Linked DNA regions of Styela clava. The protein of the gene in region 1 binds, or shares a complex with, the protein of each later gene. Links are inferred from orthologs where the notes say so. Each region holds a gene or a part of one and is shown in the gene's direction. Other genes may lie near its edges. The genes, in order: cleavage stimulation factor subunit 3-like and cleavage stimulation factor subunit 1-like.

What was found.
Region 2: the proteins of cleavage stimulation factor subunit 3-like (region 1) and cleavage stimulation factor subunit 1-like are in contact, whole or in part, in a crystal structure (PDB 6B3X), measured with the Homo sapiens proteins. The link is inferred for Styela clava from reciprocal best matches to the Homo sapiens genes CSTF3 and CSTF1. Residues at the interface, in NP_001317.1 of Homo sapiens: Tyr581, Pro582, Lys583, Pro584, Asp585, Thr586, Gln588, Met589, Ile590, Pro591, Phe592, Pro594; in NP_001028693.1 of Homo sapiens: Arg118, Glu216, Ala217, His226, Pro227, Ser228, Asp230, Phe231, Thr240, Arg242, Leu243, Tyr244, Cys251, Phe252, Val253, Ser254, Cys255, Tyr270, Ser272, Ser273, Ala274, Asn275, Gly291, Val292, Ser293, Asn294.

What each region holds. Positions count from the first base shown.
Region 1 is NC_135255.1:8,577,810-8,594,659, reverse strand, and holds the start of cleavage stimulation factor subunit 3-like, read left to right. Parts: upstream 1-8,898; 5' UTR 8,899-9,184; coding exon 9,185-9,214; intron 9,215-9,762; coding exon 9,763-9,858; intron 9,859-9,967; coding exon 9,968-10,063; intron 10,064-16,850. Other genes in the region: sodium/potassium-transporting ATPase subunit beta-1-interacting protein 3-like, read left to right, coding at 2-199, 1,038-1,098, 1,191-1,251, 1,803-1,827. UniProt on the Homo sapiens protein: One of the multiple factors required for polyadenylation and 3'-end cleavage of mammalian pre-mRNAs.
Region 2 is NC_135254.1:18,912,472-18,927,497, forward strand, and holds cleavage stimulation factor subunit 1-like, read left to right. Parts: upstream 1-9,114; 5' UTR 9,115-9,159; coding exon 9,160-10,452; 3' UTR 10,453-10,574; downstream 10,575-15,026. Other genes in the region: inosine triphosphate pyrophosphatase-like, read right to left, coding at 11,112-11,211, 11,294-11,370, 11,677-11,827, 12,556-12,694, 13,167-13,281. UniProt on the Homo sapiens protein: One of the multiple factors required for polyadenylation and 3'-end cleavage of mammalian pre-mRNAs. May be responsible for the interaction of CSTF with other factors to form a stable complex on the pre-mRNA.

The sequences.
Region 1 (16,850 bases):
GAATAATCATGGTATTGCAGTCAATCTTGCCATCACAGACAGTTATTCATGGTTCAAAAATACATCGTTTTCTTGTGATTCTCTGTCATCAACTCCATTATGGCTAGATCCTACAACACCCACTAACATGCCTATTGATTGTGCGATTGATTATCGTTATATAGAAATATTCCAATCGGGCTTGCAGGTCGCATTCGCTGTGAGTTTCTCTTTTACTAGGTGTTTGAATTGTTAAAGTATGATTGAATTGTTAAAGTATGACGGATATCAAAAATTTCATAATTGTCTTGAGATGTACCGTAACAGATTTGTTCAAAATTCCCTTGCTTTGGTAGAAATTTGATGCCTGTACATAAATCATAGTGTTTTAAAAGATAATATAAAAAAGTAAAGTACTTACTAATGCATAAATAGTGTTCCATAACAGATTTGTTTAAAATTCCATTTGCATTGGTACAAATTTGATGTCTGTACATAAATAAATCATAGTATTTCAAAAGATAATATAAAAAAAGTTAAGTTCTTAATAAGGCGCTCCCGAAGTATGTGCACCAAGATGGCGCACAACCTGAACCTTAACCTGGTACACATACAATGTTCAGGTTGTGCGCCATCTTGGTGCAAATACTTCTGGAGGTCCCTTAATAATGCAAAATGGATCATTTTTTCAACAAAGTTTGAACACAAATAATTGTAAATTTATAGAATTGAATTTTTTTTATGCAGAATAGTTGAAATAAACATGATTTTGCTTGATTTTCTGTTTATTATACAGTTTTAGAAGTTAACTTGAGTGTATTTTTTGTTTGACCGCCAAATGTCAAATACTAAAAATGACAAATTTGGAAATAAAAATATTCTAAATTTTACCGAAAATCAGGAATCTATAATGAAGTATAGATTATAACTATTTTCGGATCAATTTAAATATTCCATTCATCTTAGACATCTATGTTTCCAATGCACTTATGTCTGAAAAACGAATGTTTGAAGAATCACTGTTCAAATTTTAATAAATAAACTTATCTATTTTCTAGTGCTTCGGGTTCATCATATCATGCTATGTTATTGGTGTTCTTGAAGATGACAGTGGCAGTTGTGAGTATTAGTATTATATGTAAAATTAGCATAATATTAAAGTATAGAAACAAGCAGTTAAAAATAAAATATCTATTTTCTAAATGTTCCAGTCGATTTCATTGGCAGTGATGATCGAAAGAGAGGTGGTCCGGAAGAATCACCACTTGTAAGGTTAGTGAATCTTTTTAGGAATTTTATCACAGATCTGTTCTTTTCCTATCATCAGTAACCTCACTCATACTATACAACATTCAAATTCAAACTGAATTTTTCAAGTAACAATACATTTTTTTTCACTGCCGTATAATTAAAAATGTTATAAATACCAGCAACATTTTAAATACAGTATTTGGGTTCTTATTACGCAATTGAACTGTTACTTTGATTACTATAATTGTAGCATGAATGATGCGATGCGTTAGCTTCTTTTCAAAATGATCTGTTGTAGTTAGGAGAAAAGATATACTTAGGGTAAAGGATTCCGTTTCATATAAAAACTGTTGTTAAATAACTATGTATGACTTGGGCATACATTTTTTATGTTCTCACATTTTCTCAATATGAATAACTGCATTTATAACTTTTCGAATAAATATCATACACAAACGAGATTGTTTGTTGCTTTGGACCAAGATTAAGTACCCGATGTTAATCAATTTCTGTTGTTAAGAGTCATTACGGTAAATTAGCAAAAAAGAAAGTTAAAATGTTGTTATTTACAGATCACATCGTGTTGCTGAGGAATAAAATGAAAAGATGGGTGTTAATAAAATTGTTTCATTTGTCCAATACAACTGATGCTTTTTGCTGGCTTTTCTAAATATTTTTCTTGATCTACGGATTATTATCTATATTATGCTTTGTTCATTTTGTCATCTTTGTACTTTTATTTGATGGGGCTTTTTCTATTTTTAACAATTTGTTTGAAGTGTTATGAAGCAGTAGTTGAAATCATTTGATATTTAGTATGCTGCGGTAGGGATTGGCACAACATAAAACATCATTTTTACATCAGATGGTGCAAGTTTTTGTTTATTACTTTGTTAATTACTCAACTCTTTCTTTCGCATGTCTGGTACATTTTTTTACTTCACTATCAAGTCTGTAATATTTTTATGCTTCGTTTTTGCACAATCATGTCTGCCATTCATCATTATTTCATGTGGTTGAATTATTATTTATGATCAACAGAAATACAACACCAAGCCATAATGAAAAGAAGAATATTGTAAAATCTCCTGAGCATGTTAGAGTAAAAAGAAAATCGTACTTTATTATGGGATTGTTTATTCACCATTTTCTTTATATCACACTTTTTCACATTGTTCTATCAATTGTATAGTCACAACAATCTAGATCAGCAACAGTTCTATTTCACTGATATTGTACAATGTAGCTCATACTGACCGACCACTGTCTGTAAATTATGGGTGGTGAATTTCTATATTTTGTTTTTAATAGAAGTTGATTTCTGTATTCTGGCGAATTTGCAAGTTCTTGTTGAAGTATATTTCATTTATTTGCCTATGTTTATGCTTTGTTACAATGAAATTAATCGCATAACTAAATTTTAGGCTTGGTTTTCTGTTAAAATCCAGGATGTCTGATTATAAGGTTCGCACTGCCACTACTTCTTCATTCATTACCGAATGTTATACAGGGCATCTAACAAATTTTGTTACCGGTATCACATACTTCCCTCGTCAGGTCAGCCAAGTGAATATAACCGCTGCCCGTAGGTTTCAGTCACTCTACACAACTTTAAGTAAGGTAGGCGAACAAAATTAGTTACCTTCGTATTCGTGCACACACTTCTGGAGCGGCCTATTTTCAATAGGGTACCTTGGGAATGAAAGTTCGAACCTGCGAAACCACGCGGGGTAATCAGAGGTGCGCTTGTGAGCTTATTTCTAACGCTTAGCACGAAGCAATACACCGTCATCGCCGATTAGAATTCAAGAGTAAGCAATGGTGCGAATGACCAAAGCGTAAAAGCTTTCAGGAATCGAAATAAAAAAGATAGGTCATCTACGTAACATGAAACCCGCGTCGACGATGGGCGCTGAGAGTTTTAAAGTCGCTTGTCATTCCATTCAGAAGTACGCTGCGCTGGTTCAAAGGTAAATATACCCAGGTGGTTATCGTCAACGAAGCCGCTTGCTTCCTCTACCGCCGACCCCATGCATAATAATAATATAATTTTATTTCGATCTTTCGTCTACAACACAAATAAAAAGAACACAGACAAGGTCAACTGAAAGATCGGGAAAGTGGGCAAAACCTATATAAAGGTTTATAACGAACGCTGTAACCAGCGATTATGCCCATTCACACACGTGAAACACACCAAGACAATCATACTAGAATAAATTAAAGAACAGAGTACATAATCACGAGAAAATAATACATAATCACGAGAAAATAGAATCTAACATTGACTTGTAAGCGGCCAGCTATCATTTCTCGGGACAGATAGGGAAATTATATAATTTGTACACTTGATGCTAGGCGAACTAACTTCGTTCACACGTATTCCAGGTCTAGATTAACCCTTAAACGGAATAACCACGAGCTTAGGGCACTAAGAGAAAAGGGGAGACCACAGAAATTTCCACAGTCAACTTTTCAATGGCGCCTCAGTGTTTAACGAAATAATTCGAGTTAGTCTGACGAGTCAGCCCCAGAGGCGTAGCTTAGGGGGGGCAATGGGGTACATATGCCCCCGGGCGCCAAGGTACAGGGGCGCCAAAATGGGACTTGCAAAAATGTCACAACGAGGGTAAAATACCAGTCACATAAAATAAATCTCACAAGCAAGATTGCACCGGCGGCAGTCTAGTCTTAGTACATGGCCAACTGCACACTTGGTCAGACCACTTACGCCGACGTCATCAGGCACATAGCTCGCGCACGGAAACAAAGCAAAATCTGATTTGGTAACGTTAGGTAATAAAATGCACTGGGTTAAATACGTGGTTCTGTATCGATAAGTTCTTGCCTGCGCACTACGATGTAAGTTGATATAAGTTCTGTGCTGGAGACGAAAAGCAACGGAATTTGGTTTAATGATGTTAAACAGCGAAGTGCTGATAATACATGTTTTGAGTAGTACGTGGTTTTGTATTTCGTGGTAAGCTGCTAAACGTTTCCAGGTAGCCCACGACGCAGACCTTACTTTTGGTGGCAAGGGATTGTTCAGTTCCCGCCTGTCAACAGCATTCATAAAAAGTGTAGTTTATACTTAGCCCTGGGCCTAATATTTATAACAGTGGTTCTTAAACTTTTTCGAGCGCGACCCAAATCTGAGTTTTATGAATACTCGCGACCCAATCCTAAATAACGCAAAATGTGTTTTTAATGTTAGTACAGTTTGACTCAAATACAGACAACTATTTATTAGAAACAGTCCATTGACTCAGTGAGATTGATAAAACTGAAATTTCCTTTTCATTATATCTTCAATACACAGCTCTATTTTACTTAACGCAATACGCAAGTTGTCACGGGTATCGAGGCGATTGCGAGCTTAGTTTTGATAACCGTCAGTGCCAAATATCCTCGCTCGCACAAGTGCCTTGTTGCGAATTGTAGCAGAAAAGGCGTCCGCTGTCCGTCGCAAACACGACATCCTAGCTGGCCTTCGGTATCTCTCGCAATATACAACTTTTTACTCATCAAATGTGCACACACTGCTTCGCTTGCGGTAAATGGTGCCTCGAGATGAAGTCACATTTTCTCTAGATATTGAATAATCTAATGTCGAGAAGCGAGCTTTTTCATTGCGTCGTCTATTACAATTTACATTACCAAAAAGACACCCATTTTTGGTTATTTTAATCGACTAAGACGACATTCCACGCGGTCAACACAACGACAAGCGACGTACATGGTTACCGATACCATAAAAATAATACACGTGACTGGCAAATCAGAATTGTGATGTAACAATGAGCTCAAGACAGTTCTTTCCGTGAATGACATTTTATATTTCATTATTTTTAAATACCAGAGTTTAGAAGCTAAATTGAAACATTGGGAAAGCTGAAAATTCTTCCTTCTCCTCTTAGATTGCCCTTGCATTGATGACCTTGTCGCATTTTTAAACCTTCCGCGACCCATGTTTGGGTCGCGACCCATACTTTAAGAACCACTGATTTATAATGACCACAACGGCATCGCAACAACTCAGTTTGATGCATTGGTGTCTACCAGCCATTGGCTCTTCTTGGTTTTATTGTGTCTTTTGGAGACGACGTTTTCTCGAATATGCGAATTTCTCTACAAATTTTGTTAACAATACCAGTTTCAATTGCAAGCTGTGAACGGTCTTTCAACAAATTTAAACCTATTTTGTCGTAATCGCGTGCATCAATAGGACAGGATAGTCTCAGTGATGTTCTAAGTCAGGGGTCGGCAAACTTTTGTCGTTCGTGGGCCAAAATTAAAGGTTGCAAGTCATTAGTGGCCCGCATATATTTTTAGAAAGTTAAAAAACGAGGGAATGGCCAGTAAATCACATTTTTTCACACAGATTTCAGTTAAATTTCAAGCAGCGCACAAAAACTGATCATTTTCTGCGCCATTAAAGCATTTGCACTCAGCATCAACTTTTTTACGTTCTGTTGCCATTTGTCTATCTATAATCAATTTAAACGAGTGATTGTGAATTATATACTTGTTAGATTATAATATAACTTAGTGTCTCAAAACAAATTCTGTTACGTAAAAAATATAATCGTCAATACAGTTGTTTTGTTAATATAATTTAGTGAAGCGTCGCGGGCCGGATTATATTGTTCCGTGGACCGGATCTGGCCCGGTTGCCGACCCCTGTTCTAAGTGTTGAAAGAAAAACATTGAAAAAAAAAACAGATTTTGATGACGTGATTAACCAGCTTGCGACAGTGAAATCAAGAAAAATAAATTTATTGTAGACTATGTAAATCATCCTTGACAATAACTGAGTGGGACATTATGGACATACTTTGTATAGCTTTGCTTCTTCGTTAAGAGAGAGATTTATTTCCACAAACAATGAAAAAACAGTATTAAATAATATCAATAATTTTTATAGAGTTAGACTATAATGAAAACAATGAAAAATAGTATAAAACAATATCGATGACTTTTATAGAAGTAGTCCAATTTACACATTGTTTTGTGTTAGCCAGTATGCAAGACCGTTGAAGGTCATCAAGGCTCCTGACCAATTTAACACTGTTATTGATTAAGAAGTCGGAATTAATTGTTACAATATAAATATAAAAAAGACGGAGAATGAGTCGGCAGATATTTTAGTTCCACGATTCAACACTAAAAGCACATTGTGATAGAGTTTAGAGGACATGTGTAAAATATATATAATACCAGTGCTACATTGTGATCTAGTACATTACAGATCGCCATAACAGAGTCGGTCTCAGTATAAAATATAAATGAACAGAATAGCACAGACACATTTGCACCATGTTATATAAATATTACGGTAAGACAATTATTAAGTAAAATGTTCCATTAAAATTTGAATTGTTTTACATATACAATTAAATGTAATAGAAAATATGATTAAACGTGGAGGTCGGGGCGCCAATTTTATAGCTTGCCCCGGGCGCAATATATTCTGGCTACGCCTCTGATCAGCCCTCAATATTGTTCCGGTTAAAATAAATTTTGAGATTTTGCTTGTTTTTCTTTCTCAAGTATCATTCTTAAACCTCTATAAATGTTTGTAGGCATGAGAATTATTTCTAAATAATATTATGCAAATGAATCGAAAATGTATACTGAAGTCGTTCCACGTTTGAATAGCATTTCACCGTAACTTCTATAGGCCTTCTGTTAAAAAGCGTCAGTTACAAAGCAAGACTTACACGATTTGGCGCTGCTTTATTATGCTGATAATTCTGTAGGCGTATAATGTTGCGATGATATTGTAGCCAAGTATGAATTTATTATAAAGCACAACAAGCACAAGCTTACGGCACCAGGACAAAGAAAGCACAACAGAAATTTTCATAGTATAGTGCCCAACGACTAACGTACCGATAGTGCCTCGGTGTTTGATGAAAAGATTGCCCGGACGGTTCGGACCTGAATATTAGCCCAGTTGAAATAAATTTTGCTTTTTTTCCCCAGGTATCATTTTAGCCTCATAAATGTATGTACGTAAGTATGAGAACTATTTTCAAAAAAATCATGTAAATCAATCATAATTTGGCCTTTAATCAGTAATGAATACTGACACTTTCATTCAATTTCATATAACATGGAACACTAGTTATTTTCCTATTATTTTTTAAATATACTTATACCTTACATTATATCCCGCGATGTCACTCAACGACTGTATAGCAAAGTAACAAACCCATATGGCGAGTTGTCTCTTTCTCCCTCCGAGCTCGCGATACCGTATCTGTACTCAAACAGATATGAGTGTCTCCAATGGCTGAGAATGAAGTGAATTTATGAAGTTTTAGACTGTCCACCCACTGCCGACCTGTCAGTTTAGACTAGATGAGCAAAGTCTGTACATACATTTTTTATTATCAAAATTGATCAAAGCAAGGTCTGAACTGATACAGCTAAAGTCGCGATACGGCCATACCAATGTCGTAACTGAAATATCGACCTCTTAAATACGATTTTTGGACTTATCAGAACCTTATCCTACACCTTGGGTGTCGCTATTTGATAAACAAAATTCGTTCCCGCGGTTTCCCTTCCCGGCTTTATCGATTACCTGTACAACTGTGTGTGTTTTTAGATTAAAATATTTTATTTCGCCATGCATGAAATATTGTAAACAAATAATAATGAATCGAAATGAATCAAGTCACAAAAATAACCCACAAAGTTTCGCGAGCAGTCGCGAAAGATCGTCCAATAATCGTGTCAGCGACACCCAGGTGCAGGTGGTTTATTTTGTAGTCTTAGATCGTACGTTACGGCAGTGAATACCAAAGTGGTTTATAGCACCTCAATGGTTTATAGTCCTGTAGTCACTTTGGCGAATACGGTACCGGCATTGTCCCGAGGGCCGGGACTTGGAGCTTGCAGAATAGGATTCACATATTTATCCCGGGGGGAGTTGAAAGGCGATAAGACGGCTCAATCACATGGCGAACCACAGCCGAATCCCGAGGTTAAAGCTTGCAGAATAGGATTTACATATTTATCCCGGAGGAGTGGAAAGTCGATATGACGGCTTAATCATATGGCGAACCACAGCCTTTCATCCTGTCACAGTGTTACCTGTTGACTACCAGTCCATGTTTGCAGGTCGGATTCTATAATCAGTTTTATTTATTTTGCTTTTATCAATGTCGACATTTTACCGTCTATTATGCTGATTATGGAGTCTAAATAAACTTATTTTCTGAAGCATGGACTTGATGGTGGAGGAAACTGTAATTACCGGTAACCCGCAATACTCTCGTCTCGCACACGGTATCTGGATATCAAAATATTGCTGTTTGCTGCAACAGTCAGTATTGTGTCATGCTTATTTTGATAATAATTCCAGAATTCAATGAGCGTCCTCCGTCATATCACTGAAATAATAATTTCTTTTGCTAAAAACACTCGTTCTTGGCAAAATCTCCCATCTTATAAGATATCCTGTACGTTTTGAACTTTGCATGTTAGTGTTATGCTGATTATGGAGTTCAAATATACTTATGATACGGTAAATTTTTTTCTTCAGTAAATCGTGCCGACCACACTGTCTCAAAAAGGAGGGGTTTGCATTCACTGTTATAATTGCTGTATTTTAATGTGGGGGACATTTATTGTAATATCGCAATCAAAGAACTGTACTGACTCTTAAACCAATAAATGAACAAGATTATGTCATAATTGAGATAAATTACTTCAGCTTTTCAGGATGAAATGCATTTGCTATCTTTTAAATTTTTGTCTTGGCTTACAGATAAGTATTAATCTATAAACTTAAAGAATATTTTTGTACAACATTATTTAATTTGATTGCTTTCTCCAGAAACTTAAGGTAACAATACTTACAAAAATCTCTATTAATGATTAAAAGCTGATCAATGCAAAATCTATACTTAATTTGTTGTTCAATAAAGGGTTCAAAACATTGAATATGGCAACAAAATCACAATCAGAAGAAGTGGTGAGATATAATGAAAATTTATTATAATGCAATTTCTACTTGGATATCCAGGATATCTTAGAATATTATGCACCTAAACCACAAATCAATTATGGATATCATGCCATAAAACATTTCTGTTTTTCCTAACGAAGTTACACTGCAATTAATAATAGTATTTTAGCAATGGTTTTGAATGTTTTTTTTTTTATCAGCTAATGTTCTTTATAGTGTAATACTGGTATTATGTGATATACTTTCTAAAGTCTTTTATCAGTTTAGTAGTGGGACAACCTGTTAACTTTGATGTTTATTACACATTAAATGTTGTTAAATGATCTATCATCAGACGACATACAGAATATTTCAAACAGTACTAAATATGTCTATGTAAATAGTGATTAGGAACGAATAAGAACTTTTCAGTATGTATAGAATTGTATTCATTGTTCTGTATTGCGTGGTGATAATTATATCATACTCACTATCATTAATAATGCCAAAAAAATTTATCTTTGTACCGCATAACTTGGTATATAAACATGAGGTCCATTTTTCTTCAATTACAGGAGTATGTTCCAGAAAGAATCAGGAAGATAGAAAAGAAATTGGAAACCAGTCCATATGATGTTGAGTCATGGAACTCACTGATTCGTGAAGCCCAGGTACAATCTATATTTTATTACTGAAATTGTGACATTTATCAGATTTTGCAATTTCATTCATTGTTCCAACATATTCTTTGGTACAAGTCTTTTACATTGGATTTTTCAGACAAACTCTATTAACAAAGCTAGAAGAACATACGAACGTCTCGTTTCACAGTTCCCAAGTGCTGGAAGATATTGGAAGATTTATATAGAACATGAGGTGTGGTTTGTAATATTAAAAATATATTTTTTCTGTATTTGTTTGCTTTGTCGTTCTGCAAAGGTGAGACAGATTTAAGCTTTGTTGAGTTCTTTTCAGTTTGAAGGTTCTGCTTAGAAAAGTGGATTGCCTAAAATATAATGTGTTACAAGATCCCACTTAGTTTTGAAAAATTATCTTATTGGAAGTGAATTGTGTCTGGCTGATACTGCTGAAATGCTAAGAAGTACAAACTTATAATCGAGATGGAGACTATGCTGTTCAAACACAAATTAATACTAATTGACATGAGACTTGATGCCGACCAAATATATTGTTGTGTGCAAGTTCCTAAACCCTCAGTTTCTGGTCAAGTCTGAGTCTGAAATTAAAACCAGGATACCATGTCGTGTCAATATTTACTTAGGCATCAACGCGCCTGGTTAAAGTTGCAAAAAGCTAGTGACACTTTAAAGTTTGAGACGAGTCTCTACATTTAGTTGCTTCAAATCTTCGAAAACGGATCAACATTGATCAATGAATCAATTCTGCTTGGCCAGTGGTATTTACATTAGATGTTAGCTAGTGGCCAGATGGCATTCGTGTAGTGAATAATATTTTAGGGAGTTTAGTGTATGATGGTGTTTAGCATGGCTGTTTCATATTCATCTAGTGGGTCTTTGGTTCAGTTTGATGAGACAGAAACATGCCAAGCCACAGATTCGTCGATCAATCGTAGTATGGTATGCAAAAGTCAGATGATGCCGTTAGACTTCTTTACCTCTGCCACAGCTTTACATTATGTAGAGCGAATATGTGATTCTACGACCACACCTTATCAACTTTGATGTGATAATGAAAAATAAGCTGTCAAATGCTTCTACATACATTATCAATGGCGTCTTGGAATTTGTTTGTTTCCTATCCCTTTCTTGTCTTTTGTGAGAAAAGATTTTCTTTGAGAAGTTGTATGGACTTGTTGTGTATTTTGTTGCTGGAAGTTACCCTAGTTTTGAAGGCATAACAAAGTTACTTGCGAGGTCATATTGTGTTCTGTTTTCAACTTGTGCTATTAAGCAAGATCAGAATTATGCTTTATGATATTTGGAATTGAATGCATTTTCTCATTTGCATTCTTTCTGTCATAGTTCTGTCTACAGATTTCTTCGGCCTTTGAAAAAGTAATTTTTCATGGGTGGAGTAATTGTTGGCTATTGTTTTTATTTCATTGGGTTTTTGATGGGCAGCTCAAATTGTCCATCCAGATCCAGTCTGACTAGTCTTTTTGCCATCCTCGTTATGGCTTGGTGATAGTGCTGTAATGTGGTGAATTTCTTCTTTATAGTTCTATCCTTCTTTTTATCAATACAATCTATACAGATGCTTTGATTCAACACTTCATAAGTTATTCCTAACAAAAAATGCTTCACATAAAGATCTTCATCGACTTCATGCATGTTATGTATCAATCCCATTCTGTTTCATTCCCTGCGCGCACTATTCCAGTGGTTAGAGCGTTGAACCTAACTTTGAATCTAAAGATCCTAAGATCATCTGCCATGCTCACCACCTCTTCCAGGATGTAATATATCCAGAGGGTATTGCAGCATATGGAAGATTCGGATTCTTTATGCATATCAATGCTTGTTTTGCTAATTATTAAGGGGTAAAAAACTCCACTATAAAAAGTTGCAGGCAGCATATTGGCGTTCAATCGCTGATATTGAGGAACTTCTATTTAAAAAGATAATATGCTTTCCTGATTGGTTCTTTATGTTTGAATTTGTATCTTCTTTAAAATGCTATCGTTTATGTAGAATTTCGTATCGAGGCAGCTTGGTTTGAAAATTTTTGAGTGCGAGTTACTGTTCAGGGGGAGTTATAGCAGATTTACACTAGTTATTATATACTTACTGTGCCAATAAAAAATATGCACAAAGTGAACATTTATGAACTTAGTTTTTTGCATGTTTTACTGTTTATATATATTTATCTTATGTAGGTTTTATTGATATTAAAAATGTACTTTTTATTACATTTGAATTCTATTATTTGGTTGATAGCGGAAATAACAGGTTCATATGTGACATATATCTGGCGCGTTTATTAATATATAAATATCTAACTATTATGGGATTTACAAAAGCTTGTCTTCTTAGAAGTAAGAGATGGGGGAAATAGGAAAAGTTGTGTTTTCTGGGATGCCAAATCGGGATGGACGTAAAGGGAAAGTTAATTGCCACCATTAAGTGATATGCTGTATGCCTCCACTGTTAGTACCATACGCATAGCCAAGAAGGGGCGATGTCCCACCGAAAAACATTTTTTGACGCAATTTTGCGGCATGAGACATAAATTCATACACATTTTCAAAACCATTTTGCTCTGTTCTTGAACGATATACTGAAAACCGGACATTTCCTGGATTGCTATCAATAATCCTTTCACCTAATGAACCAAACGAGATAGATGGAAATGCGCACTTTTATAACTTTGACAGCGAAGTATGTCTGTAGAGCAGACATGGGCAAAGTACAGCCCGCGGGCTAAATCCGGCCCGTTGGGTAATTCAATCTGGCCCGCCTGATTCTGCCACAGCCAAACTGAAGTCAAATTTTGACGTTTCAGCTAAAATAGCTCAAGCAATTTGTTGCGACTGCGGTTAAATTCAGTTCTGGCATGAGGCTGAAATGTAACTTTCTAAGTCACACTTACATGGCCCGCCAGTCTAAGTGGGCAAAAAAAACTTGCCCCCTCCCTCAAAATTTGGGCTGGCTACACCCTTTGTTAGTATCTTGCAGCATGTCTTTTGCACTAGTTTATTACGATGAAAGTTCTCTATGCGTAAAGTAAAAGTTGAATTCCACTATTGAGTGATATGCTTTGTCCTACTGATGGTACCTTTCTGCTTATGTCTTCTGCACTTGTTAGGTTTATTATGATGAAAAATCCTTTATTCATGCCCTCAAAGTTTAGTCGAGCTCATTAGTTACTTTCAAATAAATAAAATAGTTATCAACAAATTAACATCATATTCATGAAATGAAAAGTGTCAGTGGTCAGGTCCGCATTACGACTTTTAAATTTATTTATTCTTCAAATACGACTTTTAAATTGCCTTCCAGGCTTTATTGTCAAACAATTCACCACGACGAGTTAATACAATACTAGTGATATATATTAAGCCGCTCAAACAAGAGGGGGTAATGTTTGCGATTATGCATCTCGAGTTGGTTGGCGTAACTGAAGAAATACATTAGTATTCAAAATTTCTCACACTCGCTTGTAGGTGGACAGACCCTCAATACTGTGGGGGCTCAAGTCGATTCCCTGTATTTCTTGGTAAATTCGCCTATAAACACTTGTAAAATGCGCGTAATGTTTTTTTTTTCACGGCGGTGCATTTCTCTTCTACGTGTCACATCGCGTGATGCGAACACAATATAATTAGAAACGGACATATATCAATAAGCTGCCCATAACCTCGGTAATAGCCTACATATTGTAAGATTTCAAAGTATGCGGCCAAACTATTTCAATTTTTGCTTGACCAATTTTGAGGCAAGCTAGGGATGCCACTTTTGGATTGACAAATCGAATTGCATCTTTTTCGAATCAGGTTTGCGATTCGGAAAAAGAGAGCATATCACCGCAAAAACAAACATCGAACGGTTTGTGCATGGTTATCGGCGGCGGTAAATCTGCCGAATGCGTTTATGCGTCTGCATATAACGCCAAATTACGGGACGAAAATGAAAACGAAATGACTTTTTACTGATCTGCCGTCATTTATTTCAAGTTCAGCGCTACACATTTTTCGAGATGCGGTGTGGCGTAATTTCCCCCAAATTCCCAGTTTAGTATTCTACTGGATGGCCTGAATTTTAATGGATCGTATACCTGAAAATTGTGACAATTGGATGAAAATTTGCAACAGCACACCTGCGCTGCGACTATGGTGCGCCCTGACATGATTGGATAAAAAAACCAGCTACCGACTTCTAGAAAATATTTAATTTTGATTAAAATTTAATTTAAACTTCGATCAGTGTGAAATATTTCGCGATATTTAAAGAAAACTATTACTGAATAAGTTCATTGGCCTTTTAATTGACAATCATTTTATCTTAAAATATATATTTAATCTGTTTAATTTAATCGGAACGAGGAAAATAATATTTTGATAGAACATAAATATGTTTTTAATCCAGCTGTTACATCAAAAGAAATATAGTATTTTCTTAGCGCGATACAAGCGGGAAATGAAACATTTATTAGCTGTTTCTAGCAAGTGTCATAACGGACAGGTGGGAGTAGATAATACTTAGGGAATGGAAACTTGTGCACTGTTTCACATTACCACGCGCCAGATTTCATACCAGACCAAGCACAATATGCGAATGTGGTCTTTCATTTAGCTCTAACGACCATGTTTGGTCGAGATACAGCGTCAGACCAATTATCGCCCGCGTCTATTAGGCACATTTGGACTTTCTGAATTACGAAAGTATGCGATGTCCAAGATAATAATGAGGCCCAAAATGATAATAACGGTTTTATCGGGAAAATATACGTATGCGGAATACTCGACTTATGCGGCTTATAAAAACTTGTCGGTCTTTATTTAAAAATGATTCCCGGACGTGGTCGGATTCGATATAAGTGAACATTACATACCCCTAAACATTCGCCCAATGGCAGTTTCGTATGTGAACGACAATCTTTATACCTAGCATGATTCAAACTTGATAAATACAGAATATCAGAACTCAGTCAATTATAGTGCCGAATCGTTTCAATTCGTACGAACTGTCCTATTTTACCAAACATTCTCTTCCGTTCCTTTTCCGAAATTGAGCATCTGCTCAGTCAGTGACCTTGTCCGATCAAATATAAAACCATTTCACAGTGCGGTGCGTCTATGCAGTACTAATAATGACGACACTGGGTTAAAATACCATTTTGACGCTGAAGCATTTTCACAATTTTTACAGCTGTAAAAATGTTCGTTTATACAGACAGAATAGAAATATCGCCAACTTTTGTAAGCGTTGTAATGTGTTACACCAGTGGTTCTCAAACGGTAGGGCGAGCCCACCAAAGGGGGGCGTAGACAATTTTCGAGGGGGCGTGGAGCTAATTAAAAATAAAACTATTTGTTAGATTCGATCTTGCCCGCCTTATTTGTTTTTAAAATTTTTATTCATTTCATCATTTACGTTCCATCCTCGTATTTTCAACGTGTGTTTTGAGTAAAACATACTTTCGCCTTACTATCTGTTATTTGTAGCTTATTATTAGCTAGTTATTTTTGAGGTGGGGCTGAATAAAAAGTGGGGCGGCTTAAAAAGTTTAGGAACCACTGTGTCACACCGTTACATGTTATTAAAGACAGTACAATTACTGGCAACTTGGTGATATTGCCACCGAGACAGAATTTACCTAATGACGTTTACTTACTAAATCGATGTTCTCGTTCTAAGACGCAAGAGTGGCCAATTTTAACAATATTTGGGATATGACATGTATTGCCAGTGAAACATGCTTGTTAAGTTGGTACTGTATTCCCATATACACGTAGCACTGCGATGTGTAATCGTGGCGGCTACGAATAACAATTGTCGTGGGTCCTAGAGCATGTCATTATTATAAATGTGGATTCAATAGGAAATGATGTGCCATCCTTGTTTGCTGCCAATCCTCTCGAATTAACAATCATTCGTGCTTACATATGCCGTTCTCTATGTAACAACTTAACAACGATGTTTATGTGAGTATGGTATAAACATAAATGAATCAATCCACAGAGACAAATGCGTAGGCTAACGTATTGGGAAATTGTTTAAGTGTTCTGAATTGTCCATTCTGCCATATGGTATAAAGAAGTAATCAATCTACAGAGAAAAATGCATAGCCATATACTACTGTATTGGGAAATTGTTTAGTGTTCTGAATTGCTTATCCGGCCATTCTTTCCTATGCGTTCTAGGGAATTATTACGCAGCAGTGCGTTCTAGGGAATTATTACGCAGCAGTGCGCTCTTTCAAAATATTTGTTGGACAAAGAAAAACGCGAGCGTGTGTGAAAATTATTGTCAAAACAATTGGAGTTTACCAAACTGTTTTTTCTTTAGGGCTTAAGAAACAGCACACCACTAATACACCATCTTAAATCAAGTACATCAAACATACCTTAGATTTATTTTATAATGGAATTGAAAATTGATGACATAGGGTCAAGTCTTAGTGGACAAAAAGTGAACAAAACAGGAACAAGAAAAAGTCTTAGCTGAAGAGGCTATTTCTAATAACGAATACATATACAAAATTAGTTCAATCAAAATCTCATGTTCGAAGGAAAGCTATGATAAGATTCATTACACACTCTGCACTATTCAAATAATGTAATCTGGTGCTTATTAGATTCGAATTACAAAAACGTTGATTATCAATTGAAAAGCTACCTAAATTGTGGAGCATAATAACTGGAGATGATATAACAAAGGCCTCATTCATGATCTTGAATTAGATTCGCAGGTGCAATTACTTTCATTAGTGCATCGACATAGTTGATGTGAGATGATGAATCCCACAAATGTGCACAACTTACTGCTCAAAAATATTTTGTAGGATAACAATTCAATATCTTCAACATAGAATGAACTTCTGCTCATGATTGACAGTTCATTTTCTTAATAATAATCTTATAAAATTTTGAACTATAAAGATGAACAGAATACAAATGTTAATGACTTACATAACAGAAGAAATTCTGGCCAGTTTCTGACTCATCAGAATGTATGAAAAT
Region 2 (15,026 bases), on another chromosome or scaffold:
CGGCCACCGGAAATGGTCACCACTGATAAGTCGAATTGACATTCTTTGGGCACTCTGACAACCTGAACATTTGGTATAAATATTTTTGCAAAATTTCCAATTCGACCAAATATTAAATAAATATATAATAATAGTATATCTCATAGTTATATGGAGAGGCACAGTCAGGATTTTTGAATAACCCAATGCGTCCGGGACGTCGCCGTACTATGCACCGTTCCGTTACCCGGTTTGGGGTTGTGGACAATGCTCGATCATTTCCAGATTTTTTAGCGGTTCTACACTAGACGGAGTATAACAAACAATGTGTATGAATATGACGCTTAAAGTCAAGCATATTTAGTTACATTGCAAGACACCTAAAATTTTACAGTAATTCCTTTTAAATACCTGTGGATTTACTAATTTTCGACCATTGCTGTCGGTAACCAGGAGCACGTGGTCATTATGAGAACGAGAGGCGAATAAATATTCTGTTTGGTTCCCACTCGCCCCTTTTTTCCAAGGCACAACTTTTGTACGAAAGCCTGCCTTCATTTTTGTATCCCCATTGTTAACAGTGGTTGTAGATTATATTTCAGAATGTTCTCACTAAAATTATCATAGTAATTCCTTTTACACACCTGTGGATTACTAAATTTCGACCATTGCTGTCGGTAACCAGGAGCACGTGGTCATTATGAGAACGAGGAGCGAATAAATATTTTGTTTGCTTCCCGCTCGCCCCTTTTTTCCAAGGCACAACTTTTGTACGAAAGCCTGTCTTCATTTTTGTATCCATATTGTTAACAGTGCTTATAGATTATATTTCAGAATGTTCTCACTGAAATTATTTGAATATACAATAAATTATTAACCCAACCGAATAAAAGGCCGTCGTTCATTGTCGGCGGAAGTTATTGAGAAGTGACAAACATAATGAAAATGATGCCAAAATTTGTCACGCTGACTAAAAAATTTGTCCGATTACTATTTCTGGACTCACAGTGCGCAACCAAAATTGTGATCAAAATTTCTTGACATAAAACTGTTCAAGAACTTCGATATATTGAAATTTAAAAACATTGGGACTCAGAAATTTCACGGCTGAAAAAGTAATATCGTGCAGTCCAATATATCATACTGATTTTGACGACTTCGCATTTTACTGTGCTGCTGACCTAGTTTATTAATAAGAAATAAATATGAAGTCAGTGGTTGAGAAAAGTACGCGCTTGCGGCCATTCCGCGATTTTTGAAAAATCTAATCTCGTGGCAAATAATCAGGCGCGTATTCTATACTTTCAGTCGCGTATTCTTTTACGTATAAAATTGTGGAACTCAACGTTTTATGGTGTCAGCTAATTTTGATAAAATAGGGCAGGCCTGCCCAACCTTTTTCGTCTCGCGGGCCACTTTCACATAACGAAACATATCTCGTTCTCTCGATCTCGTCTCGTTCACATACGAAACATATATCGTTGCGGGCCGCAAACGTTTGTAACAAACTTTAATACTAGCCAAGTCCCGATTCCGTTAGAATTCACATAATACATAAAAGGCAAGATTATTACGGTAACATAAAATCAATCAAGTTGATAAGGTTACTGATAAGTGCTGGCAAAATATTCGAATATATATCAGCAGTTTACTATTCGAATATCTGGTAACATGGGGCATGGACATGACATTCACGAGTCGCTCAATCGAAAAATCAATCATTACACAACGCACTTGTGGATTTCTGACGGCCACACGAGAATCTGCACACAGTTTTCACTAACAAACAAAGGCGTCAAAATTGAGTCTTATATTTGAGTCATGATGTTTTTTATTTATTTATTTTCAGTGGCTATGATATTTGAGCGTAATGTGCGCCAATGTCGCGGAAACATCGAATTTTAGTGGGCCGTTTCGTAAATTTTGAAACTTCAATACAAGTATTTAATGAAGAAACATTACAAAGACTTCTGGACAAATATATATACTAATTCGATTGGTAAAATTGCCAATCAGGTCAATTTTATCAGAATTATTGACGGATACGCAGTGACGATATTTCCAAATTGTTATTTAACGCGAACATAACATACACAAAAATACAAACATAAAAGAACAACGTATCCCGGAGCCAGGAGCAAAGATATTGTTGACTTTTTATTTTATGTCGGCGATAAAGATGATCAAAGCCAAATTCATTCCTATAATTGCGCTCAGCTTTCGTCACCGATGATCGCACAATCAAGTTCGTCGAACAAAACGCACAGTTCTGCGAGAAATGAAAAAATCTTAACGTCGATGTCCATCAGTGCGCAAGACTTGATACATACATAACAATAAGAATCGGCATCCGGATGTAGACAGATGGATGGAATAATCACACAAAAACCACGAAACAAACTTTCGCCTATATAACATAGTAAAAATTCAAAAAGTCTGCTTACAAAATTTATGGGGCGGGCCGCATGCGGCCCGCGGGTTGGGCACCCTTGAAATAGGGCATCGTTAATCAGGACTTGCACATAAATAAAAAGATTACCTACCAACAACTTCAATTTTGTGATTTATATATGTTGTATTTATTTTTAATATTTTCAGTAACAGATTACACATAAATGCAAAATTTATGCAAACTGCCCAACTTGTGGAATGAAGAGTATCCATAATTAAATTTCGGCCCTCTTAATCTGTTAAACATGCTATTGTAGTTTGAAAGTTGTGCCTGTGATTTTTCAGGTTTTTCGCCTTTGTCGATTTTTACGAAATAGGGCATGAATGCAAAATTATGTTACCGACAACTCAACTTGTATGATGTACCACATATATAATATTATGTTTTTCAAAATTAAAAACTGGCTCCTCTTAATCGATAAACATGCTATTGTAGTTTGAAGGTTTTTCACGTTTTTCGCCTTTGTCGATTCTGACGTAATAGGGCACCCTTTAGTAACGGATTACACATAAATGCAAAATTTTGTTCCCGACAATTCAACTTGTATGATGTACCACATGTATAATATTATAATTTTCAATAATAAAATCACGCCCCTCTTAATCGGGTAGACATACTATTGTAGTCTGAAATTGTGATATTCCACATTCTTTTCGTCTATGTCGATTTTGACGAAATAGGGCATTTTCAGTAACGGATTACACATAAATGCAAAACTTTGTTCCTAACAATTCGACTTGTGGGATAAAGAGTGTATAACATAAAATAGGTATCAATAATGAAAACTCGCCCCTCTTAATTGGGTAAACATGCTATTGTAGTTTGAAAGTTGTGAAATTTCTAGTTTTCGCCTATGTCGATTTTGACGAAATAGTCATTTTCTGTAACGGAATACACATAAATGCAATATTTTGTTTTGTATGGCGTACCACTTTTCCAATATTATATTTTTCAATAATAATATCTTGCCCCTCTTAATTGAATAAAAACATGCGATTGTAGTTTTGAAAGTTATGAAATTTCAGGTTTTTCGCCTATGACGATTTGAACGAAATAGGGCATTTTCAGTAACGGATTACACAAAAATGAAAAATTTGGTTCCCAACAACTCAACTCGTATGATGTACCACATATATAATGATGAATTTTTTATTTATAAAATCTCGCCCCTGTTAATTGGATAAAAAACTGCTATTGTAGTTTGAAAGTTTTGATACTTCACCTTCTTTTTCGTCTATGTCGAAATAGGGCATTTTCAGTAACGGATTACACATAAATACAAAATTTTGTCAACAACTCCACTTGTGAGATAAAGAGTGTATATACTAAAGTAAGTATCAGTATCAATAATAAAATGTCGCCCCTCTTAATTAGTTTTTCATCTCAAAGTATTCGAATCCAACGGGATCCGATAACAGGATTCGGTTTCCGCCTCTCCGGCACCAAGCGTCAATTTTTGTATTTCGGGTTTCTTCTAATTTATCAATTGAAGACGAGCATTTTTTCTCGCGTGTAAATCTCTCTCGTTTAATCAAACTTGCGATAGTGATGTATTAAGTTTGAGTAGGGCCAATTTTGGGTAGATAATGAGTGATATGTAACGATAATCATAGAGTATGTATGTATGTTGATTCGTCTCGTAATAGTGATACATAAATAAATGAACAATTTTTATTATTTAAGACGGGATGCATGCACAAGACCGTACTGGCCTAAAACACAAATGTGCGGCATGCACCCCTTTTGACAAATATGAAACAAAAAACATTAGATTAAATATGTATAATATGCTTCCTTATATAGACAGTTGTGCAAGGTGGGGCAATGGGTCGGTTGGTGTGGTGAAAATGAATTCGTCTTTAGATGTTATTACCAAATAACTAGGTACGAAATCGCGTTTACGGGAACTTGGTTTTACGAGTTACGATGTACCACATATATAGTATTAAATTTTTCAATAATATAATCTCGCCCCTCTTAATCGATTAAATATGCTATTGTAGTTTGAAAGTTGTAATATTTCAGGTTTTTCGCCTCTGTCGGTTTTAACGAAATAGGGCATTTTCAGTAACGGATTACACATACATGCGAAATTTTGTTCCCAGCAAGTCAACTAGTGAGATGCAGACAGAATATATTGAAATGATTATCAATAATAAAACTATATATCTTTATTTTTGTGTTTTTTTTTTCATTTGCATGTTGGTTTAGTTTGGCGAATTTGGTCCCGCCTATAATTCTGCAATCTGATTGTCGTATCAGGTATTTATTGTGTTATTTTTGTTTTTGCGAATGTTTATTCGTTTGTGTTGTTTTTTATGGACTGCAGCGGTCTGGAGTAGTAAACGAATTGAAAAGGCCACCGTGATACTAGTACTATTTTTTCTACTGTCCCCCCTAAGTTCGCTGTTTTACCTGGAAATGGCCTAGGGGTATATCAAATGACCTTTACAAGATATTTACAGGTCCGTTCCGGTAGGTTTGGGTAGATATTTTACACCGTTCCGGTAATTTATTGACACTGATACTGGAGAGCACGAAACTGCGAAAGGTAGAATTATATTTACTTGCTTCATATACCAGTAGCTATTCTCTGGCTTACTGCAGCATGATCTCACAAGTTTCCGTTGCTGTTTATTATGCAGTTATGCCTACTTTGCGAATAACTTCTTCTCTCGGCTCTTATGTTTCTGAACACTTCCAATTTATAAAACCATCACTCCGGGGTGAACCACTTCTATGAAGCAATAAGCAAAACAAAAATTTGGCGCTGACAGAATCGCAGAAAATACCCACGCATAAAAACAAATGTTTCCAATCATTTTAGAAAGAAAGTGTATATTTTTATTAGTTTTACAATACCAAATCAATCAATAACTACACTTCTCATCTTGTTAATATTTTGTAAACAAGCTAAATCGACTGTAACAGTGCATTACAAAATTACATACTTTTTTAGGAGTTGTTTATAAATGACCGAATTTTCTTCGTGACGTTCATTTCTCGAAAACCTCCTATAAAGGCAGCATTACCACATAATGGGACAAATCAGGAACCTTATACTGTAGATTCAATTTCATTATAGCAGAGCATTAGCAGCACGTTTTGACTTAGCCATATATAATACCAAACATAGCGCATATTCTTCAATTTTATGAACACTGTGGACATAATTAAAAAAAAGTTTGTATTTCACTTAATTTGCAGGATACTTGATCAAATATATTTTTTCTTTTTACACATTTATACTGTACGCCAAGAGAGAGAAAGAGGTTTTATTATTTCGTCAACCAAAAAATACAGTCATCAATAAAATAGCAACAGCAAATAAAATTGTTTAGGTATGGACAGGAGAGAGCGATACGACCATGCGCCATACGGTCATTGAGGTCAGCTCCCACCATATACGCTGATGTGATTAACACTGAAAGATGACTAGTGACAAAACTTGAACCATTACGATAAAATTTTTACAATAAATTTCTTAACAAAATTAAGGGATTTTTTGGTTAATGCAATGTTATGCAAGTGTGTTTTAAAGGAAGAAAAAAGAAACAAAAAAGAGGGATGTCCGGTGTTGTATTCGTTAAATAAAACAATCTAAAGCGGTCAGAATAATGAGATGGAAATTTATATTTAACTGGAAATAAATAAATTCGAATTCAATGAGGTTTGGATGCTTATATTTAGCACAATATTCAAAGTACTTGGAAAAAAAATTGGCCATATATATATACAGTGAATCAAAGACAAAAATTATATTGTGATGATAATTTGTCTGAATGTGAAAAATATTTGAATGTAACTTAGTGATACACAGTATTGAAAAAAAGTAACACACCAGGAATTTTATTTATAGGTTAGTCACAATCTGAAAATGTTTAAAATATTTCATGGACTTGTTCATGCAAATGTTTGGCATTTTTACAAACTTGCATTTCAAAAATAATAATACTTATAATAGGTATACTTATCAATAAGGTTTAGCAGATGGATTTGGGAAACGTTTCTGATTTAAACAAGAGGGTCAAATCAATAGAAAAATTTTACAAAACAAACCGAGCAATGATGAGTGAACATTTTTATTTACCTTTGGTGCTAGAGTATGATTGATGAAACCTTTACAAACAAACCTATCCTACTGCTAGTTCAGATCAATTTGGAAATAATTTAATTGATCAACAATAGCATATCAATAACTAGATATAAAAGACAGGGAAAAAACGTGCTATTCGATTGACCAACAATAAAAATTTTCGTTTTTGTAGTCGCGATTTCTCGAAAACCGCCAATACGACACGACACATTCGAAGAAAATCAGATACCTTATAGATTCGATTTCACTATTCCAGAACAGTAGCAGCACGTTTTAACTTGGCCATATACAATACCAAACATAGCGTGTATTCTCAATTTTATAAACAATGTAGATGTAAACATATTTCACAGGGGTTTCGTATTAAACTATATTTATTGAATATTTGAGCAAAATTCTTTTTCACGTTGTCATACATCAATACTGTATGTTCATTAAACTTGGATTATGTTGCGAATTACATACATTGTTAGATACATTGTATTGAATACATTGTTCATAAAATTGAGAAATATTCGCTATATTTAGTATTATATTTGCCTAAGTCAAAACGTGGAGCTACTGTTCTGCTATAATGAAATTGAATGTGTCGTAGTGCTTCCTTTATTGGCGGTTTTCGAGAAATCCCCAATCCAGGGTCGATGATTTTTTTTAAATTTTGAATAGATGGCGTGAATTTATTTTTTGTGATTTAGACTTTCCGCAACTTATTCCAAGTTTAATAAACGTACAGTATTGATGTGTGAAAAAGTAAGAAAGTTATTCGTTCCATAATTAGATAAATTTGGTTAAAATACAAAACCCTTTTGGAATAGATTAAGTCCAGACTCTAGATTGTTTATAAAATTGAAAAATATGCGTTATGTTTGGTATCACATATGGCCATGTCATAACGTGCTGATATCGTACCGTTGTAATAATATCTCATCTATAATAAAATTTTACATCCCACCATTCATCGTAATTCTGCTTCTATTGGAGGATTTTGATAAATATTGTTTAGAACTTGTACTAATCTTAGAAACTCCGTATTTTGCGGAATACCTGGGAATGCGTTATTTGCCCAATTTCTTTTTTTAGACCCTATTTTATTGTCAAATTCATTGTAGTTCTTTAGTTTAATGCTTTGTCATGTCTTTCCGTGGTAAAATTATCTTTTTCTCAGCCATTTTAATTTTTTTTAATATGTATCTATAAGTGAATACTACATGCGCGTGGGAACTATATTCAATGTGTAAAAATATTCTGGCCGAAATTGCCGCTAGCTGCACAGTGGTGTGTAACTGTACTGTATTAATGGATATACTGTACCGGACCACTGTGAAGCTAGTAGCAAACCTTCTTCTAATTGTGCGCAGCGGTGCGTTAAGTCTCGTTTTCGTGCTCATTGAAGAGTTATATTACAGTTTTGTGCTTATTGAAGGGTGATGGAGTAAAACGTAGGCGATTTCTAAATTCCACACGGCAGAATTGCTCTCGATTGTAGATATGGAAGAAACATCAACATAAATTTAAGTGCAGTTTGGAAACTTAATCGATAGCACAACGGCAGTTTGTTTTACACTAATGTTTTATTTTCTGATTTGTCAAATACGGTATCTAACTTGTCATATACTACTCGCCTCAATAAGTACGCACAGAGCTAGTCTGTGTGCAAGACTTTGAATTACCGAATAAATAGAGTTTACAGGTTCAAAAATGAGCTGTTTGTAATGCCAAGCTAATGTAGAAATACGATCGCATTCATTTGCGAAATTGGAAATATTTCAAAGTCAGCTGATTGATTAAATGCACGATGGCCATAACCGTCTACGGTACGTGTTTCTTCTTCTGAGTAATCAAGTCTATTTTTTCACCATACTTATGGAAACGAAGATATATAAAACAAAGATCAAATTCTACTAGCTTCACAGCGGTCTGTACCGGTACCGTTAATGGAGATGAATGGCAGAATGGGTAAATGTATCTGGATTTTATAATATGTCATTTTCATTTTGTATTGTATACTCACACATTTTATGGCATCACCTAAATTAGCTAGAAAATTGGGCTTCATGCAACTGAATGGAAATAAATTATTTGATTGAACCAAAAACTATCATATTTTTTATAAATTGATTTAAATTTTGCAAAAAAATGTGTAGTATCCAGTTTACATTGTATTAACAGTATTAGTACATAACGTCACATCAATAGTCAGATTTTTGTTGTATGTATATCACTTTATCAGTAGACTATTGCTTATGAAGTCAAATCCGAACAATGTGGATCCTTGTTTTGCTTATCTGTGCAGCTGTGGGTATGAATGAAAATGAAGGCAATTAGCATTTGGTTTGGTGAAGCTTCATACATTTGTAGGGTTCCCCATGCATTGCTCTTTCCATCGCATATCAGCAATATGTCATCAGCATTTGGTTTTGTATTTACATGGTATTAAAATTTCAATGTTGATCTATCAGTCTGTATACCCAGTATACGGTCAGACGGTATATATGTATATAAAACTATAGTAGGCTATTTTGTCAACACTGATCATTAGAACGATGTCAGCATCCATGTTTTAAAGTATTAACAGTTAAGCTTTTCTTTTTGGCATTTACTAGTATTTTATAAAAACAGATAATCGTTAAAAATGAAACCGGACAATGTTAAAATGAGAGATCATTTGTATAGGGCTATCATTAGCCAGTTGCTGAATGACGGATATATTGCTGTCGCAAAAAGCTTAACATCTCAAGTGAAGCCAACACTAGCATGTCCACCTTCTGATAAACTGCTCAAAGTATTTGAGACTGGAATTACCCAGCTTGAACATGACAAAGAATTTAAACTTCCATCTACTGCAGAACTGGTTGCTCCTGGCCATGGAATAGATCTTGAATTTGAGACAGATGTTCAAATAACGTCTCCAGAAGCAATTGTATATGAAACAAGTTACGTTACTGCTCACAAAGGTCCATGTCGAGCAGCGACTTTTTCAAAAGATGGACAATATATTGCGACAGGATCGGTGGATATGTCAATAAAAGTATTGGATGTTGAGAGAATGGTTGCCAAAAGTATACATGAAGGGACTCCTCAAATGCAAAATGATCAACCAGGTATGTTAGACCACCCTGTTATTCGTACGTTGTATGATCACAATGATGAAGTGACCACATTAGATTTTCACCCAACCCAGCAAATATTAGTTTCAGGTGGCCGTGACTGTACAGTTAAAGTATTTGACTTTTCAAAGAGTTCTACAAAAAAGGCTTCAAAAACCATTCAAGAAGTTGCAACTGTGCGCTCAGTTTCCATGCACCCCAGTGGAGAATGCCTTCTGGTTGGCACAGAACATCCAGTTGTGAGACTTTATGATCTGAACACTTTTCAGTGTTATGTGAGTTGCAACCCATCAGATCAACATAGAGGTCCACTAACCATGTTGGCTTACAATAATGATGGTAGAATTTATGCTTCTGGGAGTAAAGACGGAGATGTGAAGTTATGGGATGGTGTCAGTAATCGATGTATTGCAACATATCCTAAAGCCCACAGTGGTGAAGAAATTTGTTCTGTACAGTTTTCACGAAATAGCAAATACCTTTTGACAAGTGGTAAAGACAGTGTATGCCGTCTTTGGGAGACTGCAACAGGACGCTCACTCATTGCTTATACAGGAGCAGAACTTAGTGGCAAACAATTACACAAAGCACAAGCAGTGTTTAATCATACTGAAGACTATGCATTGTTTCCTGATGAAAAAACAATTTCACTATGTTGTTGGGACACCAGAACTGGTGAAAGACAACGCCTATTGTCACTCGGACACAACGGTCCTGTTCATCGTCTTGCCCATTCACCAACATCGCCTGGATTTATCACGTGCAGCGAGGATCACAGAGCTCGGTTCTGGTATAAGAGAACGACAGGAACGGACTGAATTGCTGCTGGATAGCACATTTTACTATGTGTTTCTGGACCACAAAGTTTAGGGTCAGCGCAGCATAACATGAGCAAAATTAAAATTTACTTCATGGAGATCATCAGTTTGAAGATGCATGGTATATTAGACAGAGTAATAAAATCTTGTGCTTTCGATTGCCTACTGTCTTAAAGAACCTTGCCTATCTATGCTTTCCAACAGACCAGACCCTGTTGTTTTTTTTAAAGCTTATTTGATATTCTTAATTCTCATTCCACTTTTTATGGCAGTGAATTATCAATTGACGAAAGAAATTTATTCGACCTAATAAACCCTTTGAAATCATCCTCATTTTATGCCCAAACCTGTGGCTGTGTCCCAATTTTTCTATATTTCTTCTCACTAAATTGCCACCACTGCTGGGGTATTATGCATTCCTATATTTATCTAGTTCGTGCTCTTGTCTTGACAATAGCGTTTAGTACACATTGATTAAAACGATTGTCCCTTTTTCGTAACTAAATTAGCCACAATATCAGTACTGACTCGGGGAAAGTTTATTTAACAGGACACATCAAATTTATAAGGTGTACATATTGAATTGCCATGCTGAGGAGGTGCCAAGCATCCCCCAAGTCTGAACCGGACCATTTTCTATCAGCTTTGTGGTTCACTCATCAGCCATCATCTGTTTTTTCGAAGTATTCTGCCATCTTGCAGAGGGCTCTTGATCTGTGGGAAATCTTGTTCTTTTCATCTTTTGCCATTTCAGCATATCTGAATTGGATGGGGGCATGGATTTGCTATTGGGTTTCAATTTGAATGAGTCCCAGTCATAAAATAACAACAATGTACTCACGTTTCATTATAACCATCTGGTTGAAATGTTGGGTCCCATCCAAAGTCCCTTGGGCCTCTAGGTGATACGATCCTCCCCTAGTAAGCAATTAAGGAAAGACTTGTGAAAAGTAATGACAGTAAATTCTCATTCCTTATTAAATCATAGATTCTGGGCAATACTACTTGAAAGCTTATTATTGAAGAATTTTTTTTCACATAATTTAGTTTCCATATGTTAGAAGCTGCTGGATCGAAGGTGGTCGGCCAAACAATAAGAATTCTTGTCTTTCCAACCCGACAGAGCTATACATTTAGGTGTCCCCTTCCCCTATTGTACAAAAAGAAACTATTGACAGATGTGGTAAATATACAGGCTTTTTGGCATGAATTTACTATACCCACCTCACATTTTCCAGTAAACAGTAGGACAGGGTCGTTAGCATTTCCAGTTGCATTGTACGCAAAAGTACATAGGGCATAGGCTGATTTGTCCTCCCAACCATCCAGCATCTTGTGTATTCCTTCTGGTCCCAACTCTTTCAAGAACCATTTCCTGCAACCAGATTCTAATAAATATTACATGACAACAAGACTGACATTTCATTATTAATTGGGAATGTTCAATATAGGAATAACAGAGGTTCTAAAACACATAACTATCATCTAAAACAGTGGTCGGCAACCACCGGGCCGCGGCCCATCGCCGGTCCTCGGAAAGGTCACTACCGGTCTGCAGAGAAAGGTGACATGAAAACGTACAATGCCATTGTTATCTTCATGTGAGGTTGGGTTTTTAAAATGGCAATTACAAAAACGAAAGATCGAAGTGGGTTTAACGTAAGAAATACGTTACGTGAATAGTATCACCTTTGTTTTTGAATGTTTTGTCAACATACATTTTCTAACGCATATTATTTATTACATTATATCAGTTCGTTTGTATAAAGGTGGTCCGCCAAAATTTTGGTCAGGCTTTACTGGTCTGTTACTGGAAAAAGGTTGCCGACCACTGATCTAAAACACATCTCAGACACTAAGATTTTCATTAGAAAATTTGTACATCCAGATATGCACACTACCGGAACCAATCGCATTAAAGCAGTAGAGTTACAATCTGGTGACATATTTGGGACTTCTGATAACATTTTCTACTTCCAGTTAGGACCAATAGGCTCATTATTTTCTTTATATATAATAATTTCATCACAGTGCAAGATTTCTCCACAAAGACAATTTCTAGCTTTGTTATTTTTGAAAAACTAACATCTAAGATTCCCATACACATAGGGTCCAGGGAGCCCATTCATTGCATTAAAGCATAAACATGTGTCTTCCACAATTACAGGAGTCTTCAATCTTCTGGCTGCTTCTTTACACTTTTCTCGAGAAACATCTTCTGCAGTCCCTTGATACTCGGGCACTAAAAATTGGTTCAAGTGATGACACATAGTAATGTAAAGGGATGTCCAATTTAACAGAAAATTGAAAATACATTACAGCATAATATATCTAGACAACCTAACCTAAAAAATCTCCATTTTCTAGTACATTAGGACAAATATTGCCATAATATGTCAGCACCGTATGGATCAAGGCGCATTGATTTCAGAAAATACAGGAGAATAAAACGCACAAATCACAGAAATTGATCAAGTTATGAACCATTTTCTGAACGATCTGCAAAGTCCTTAACTGATATAGATTATATTTTCCACAAACAGAATTTTACCAATACGAATCCACCGTAATCAAAACATATAGCCTAATGGCAGAATGGAGTACACTAAAATTAGAAGAGAGTAACAGGAGTATTGATTTCTCTGTCCGGAACACCGTACAATACACAACAACAAATGCACTTGGGTATCTTTAAATATGATAGGCCTACTTACGATCCAATGGTGTGTGAACAAACTCGACACTTTTATTTCCCTTCAAAATCGCAACAACTTCCTCCAGCTTCTTTTTGTTTCCAGTCACAAAGCTGACAGTCTTTCTCTGAGACATAACGCATTCCCTCTGACCGTATCGCTTCGCTTGTTGCCCGTTACGATTTGTACAGCCCACCGCGTGTACTTTTTTCTCAGGATAAATGCATCCGTGGGGGTGATGTGGGTCGATAATATTCGTGTGTCTCAAAAATTGTGGTCATCAAAATCATAAAGGCCTACCTAATAGGTCACTATATAGGTAAAAATCTAGAATTTTTTAGCGTATAAGTAGACTTCCAATTTGGCGCTATTGAGCCATTACAGGTTTTGCCACATTTGCCCGATATGTTGTGGGATGGTGGATGGGTGCGAAAAGTGGATAGGACATTATATTGCGAATTATGAGACATTAATAGTGAACCACGACTTACAGACTCAGGACTATCAGTTAAAAATCAAGGATTTCTGCTGAAAAATTTTCATCTTATACGGTACCAATCAACTTCCAGTCTGCATGGCTCAAATGCGAGGGTACGGTAGGTACCGTACCATTGGCAACTAGCGTCCCATAGCTGCATAGTCTAGTTAGCGACTTATTTTGACATTGCTACAGAAAAAGAGAGAATTTATTTCGTTTTGTCCAACCAAGAAAACAATATATACATACACATATAAATATCAAATAAACAGATGTTTTCGGTACATGACTGAGAGGCAACGATACGACCTTCGAGGGTCATCAGAGTCAGTTGGCACTCAAAAACAGACAGTACCGTAACGTCTCAGCTTCATAGCACTGGTACCGGTAGACTACTGTTGTTACATCAGTAATTATGGTATAAGTTACTTATAATATGGAGTAAATGATAGGGCTGACGGCTAACTCCCCATGAGGGCTAATTCGCCATATACTGATATAAGCCCGTTTTCTTGTCACTTTGTTACTATTTGCACAGTAGGTATTGTAACCAAACACATTTAATTTATTCATCCTTACTATTGAAGTTGTTAGTATAAACAGCCACCTTTCCATCTCCCATTACAAGAAGAGCCGCCGCACAGTTGCAGACTAACCCGTTAGCCGCCGTCGCATGGCGAGTGGTCCATGGCGAGTTCGCCCTCATGGCGAGTTAGCCTCCACCCAAATGATAGTAATTCTTGAATCTATCAATAAGGCTTGATGCAGAACTTGGTACAGCATTCAAAATCAGGCTCAGGATCCGTAAATTTTCAATAATCAGAGACAGAGGAACTCTATTACATTTAATTTATCTACCTCAATTTTGCTGTTTTATTTCTTGCAAAACTGTCCGCAGAACCCATCAGCAATTATGTGTGTTTCTAATTTTGAATTGCCTCGTTCTGAATCGTGTTCACGTTTTTTTGTATGCTTTTATTATTATTTTTTTTTGGTGGGTGGGAGTGGACGCGTACTTGTACGTTTTTCAACTTCATTTTAAGTACTGTATGCTTACCTCCCAGATATCTCTGCGTTTTGTTTGTTTGTTTATTTTTTGTGTTGTGTTTTATGTCAGAATACCGAAATAAAATGATTGATATGGTTATGGATTTTTCTATTTATGATTGAAATGTCGAAATAAAACTGGTTCAAAATTCTAAGATTAGTATTTTCAGGTGTTCACTACTATAATGCATTTGTACAAGTGATGTAGCATCAAATTTAGTCCTTTTCATGTGTTTAGCATCTTCTACAAGAATGAATGTAGGCCAAAGCTGAAAAGAATGAATAATTTTCCAAAATTGTCATTACCACTATCTGACCATGTTCTACCATATTTCAGTATTTCTGAGCTACGTCAA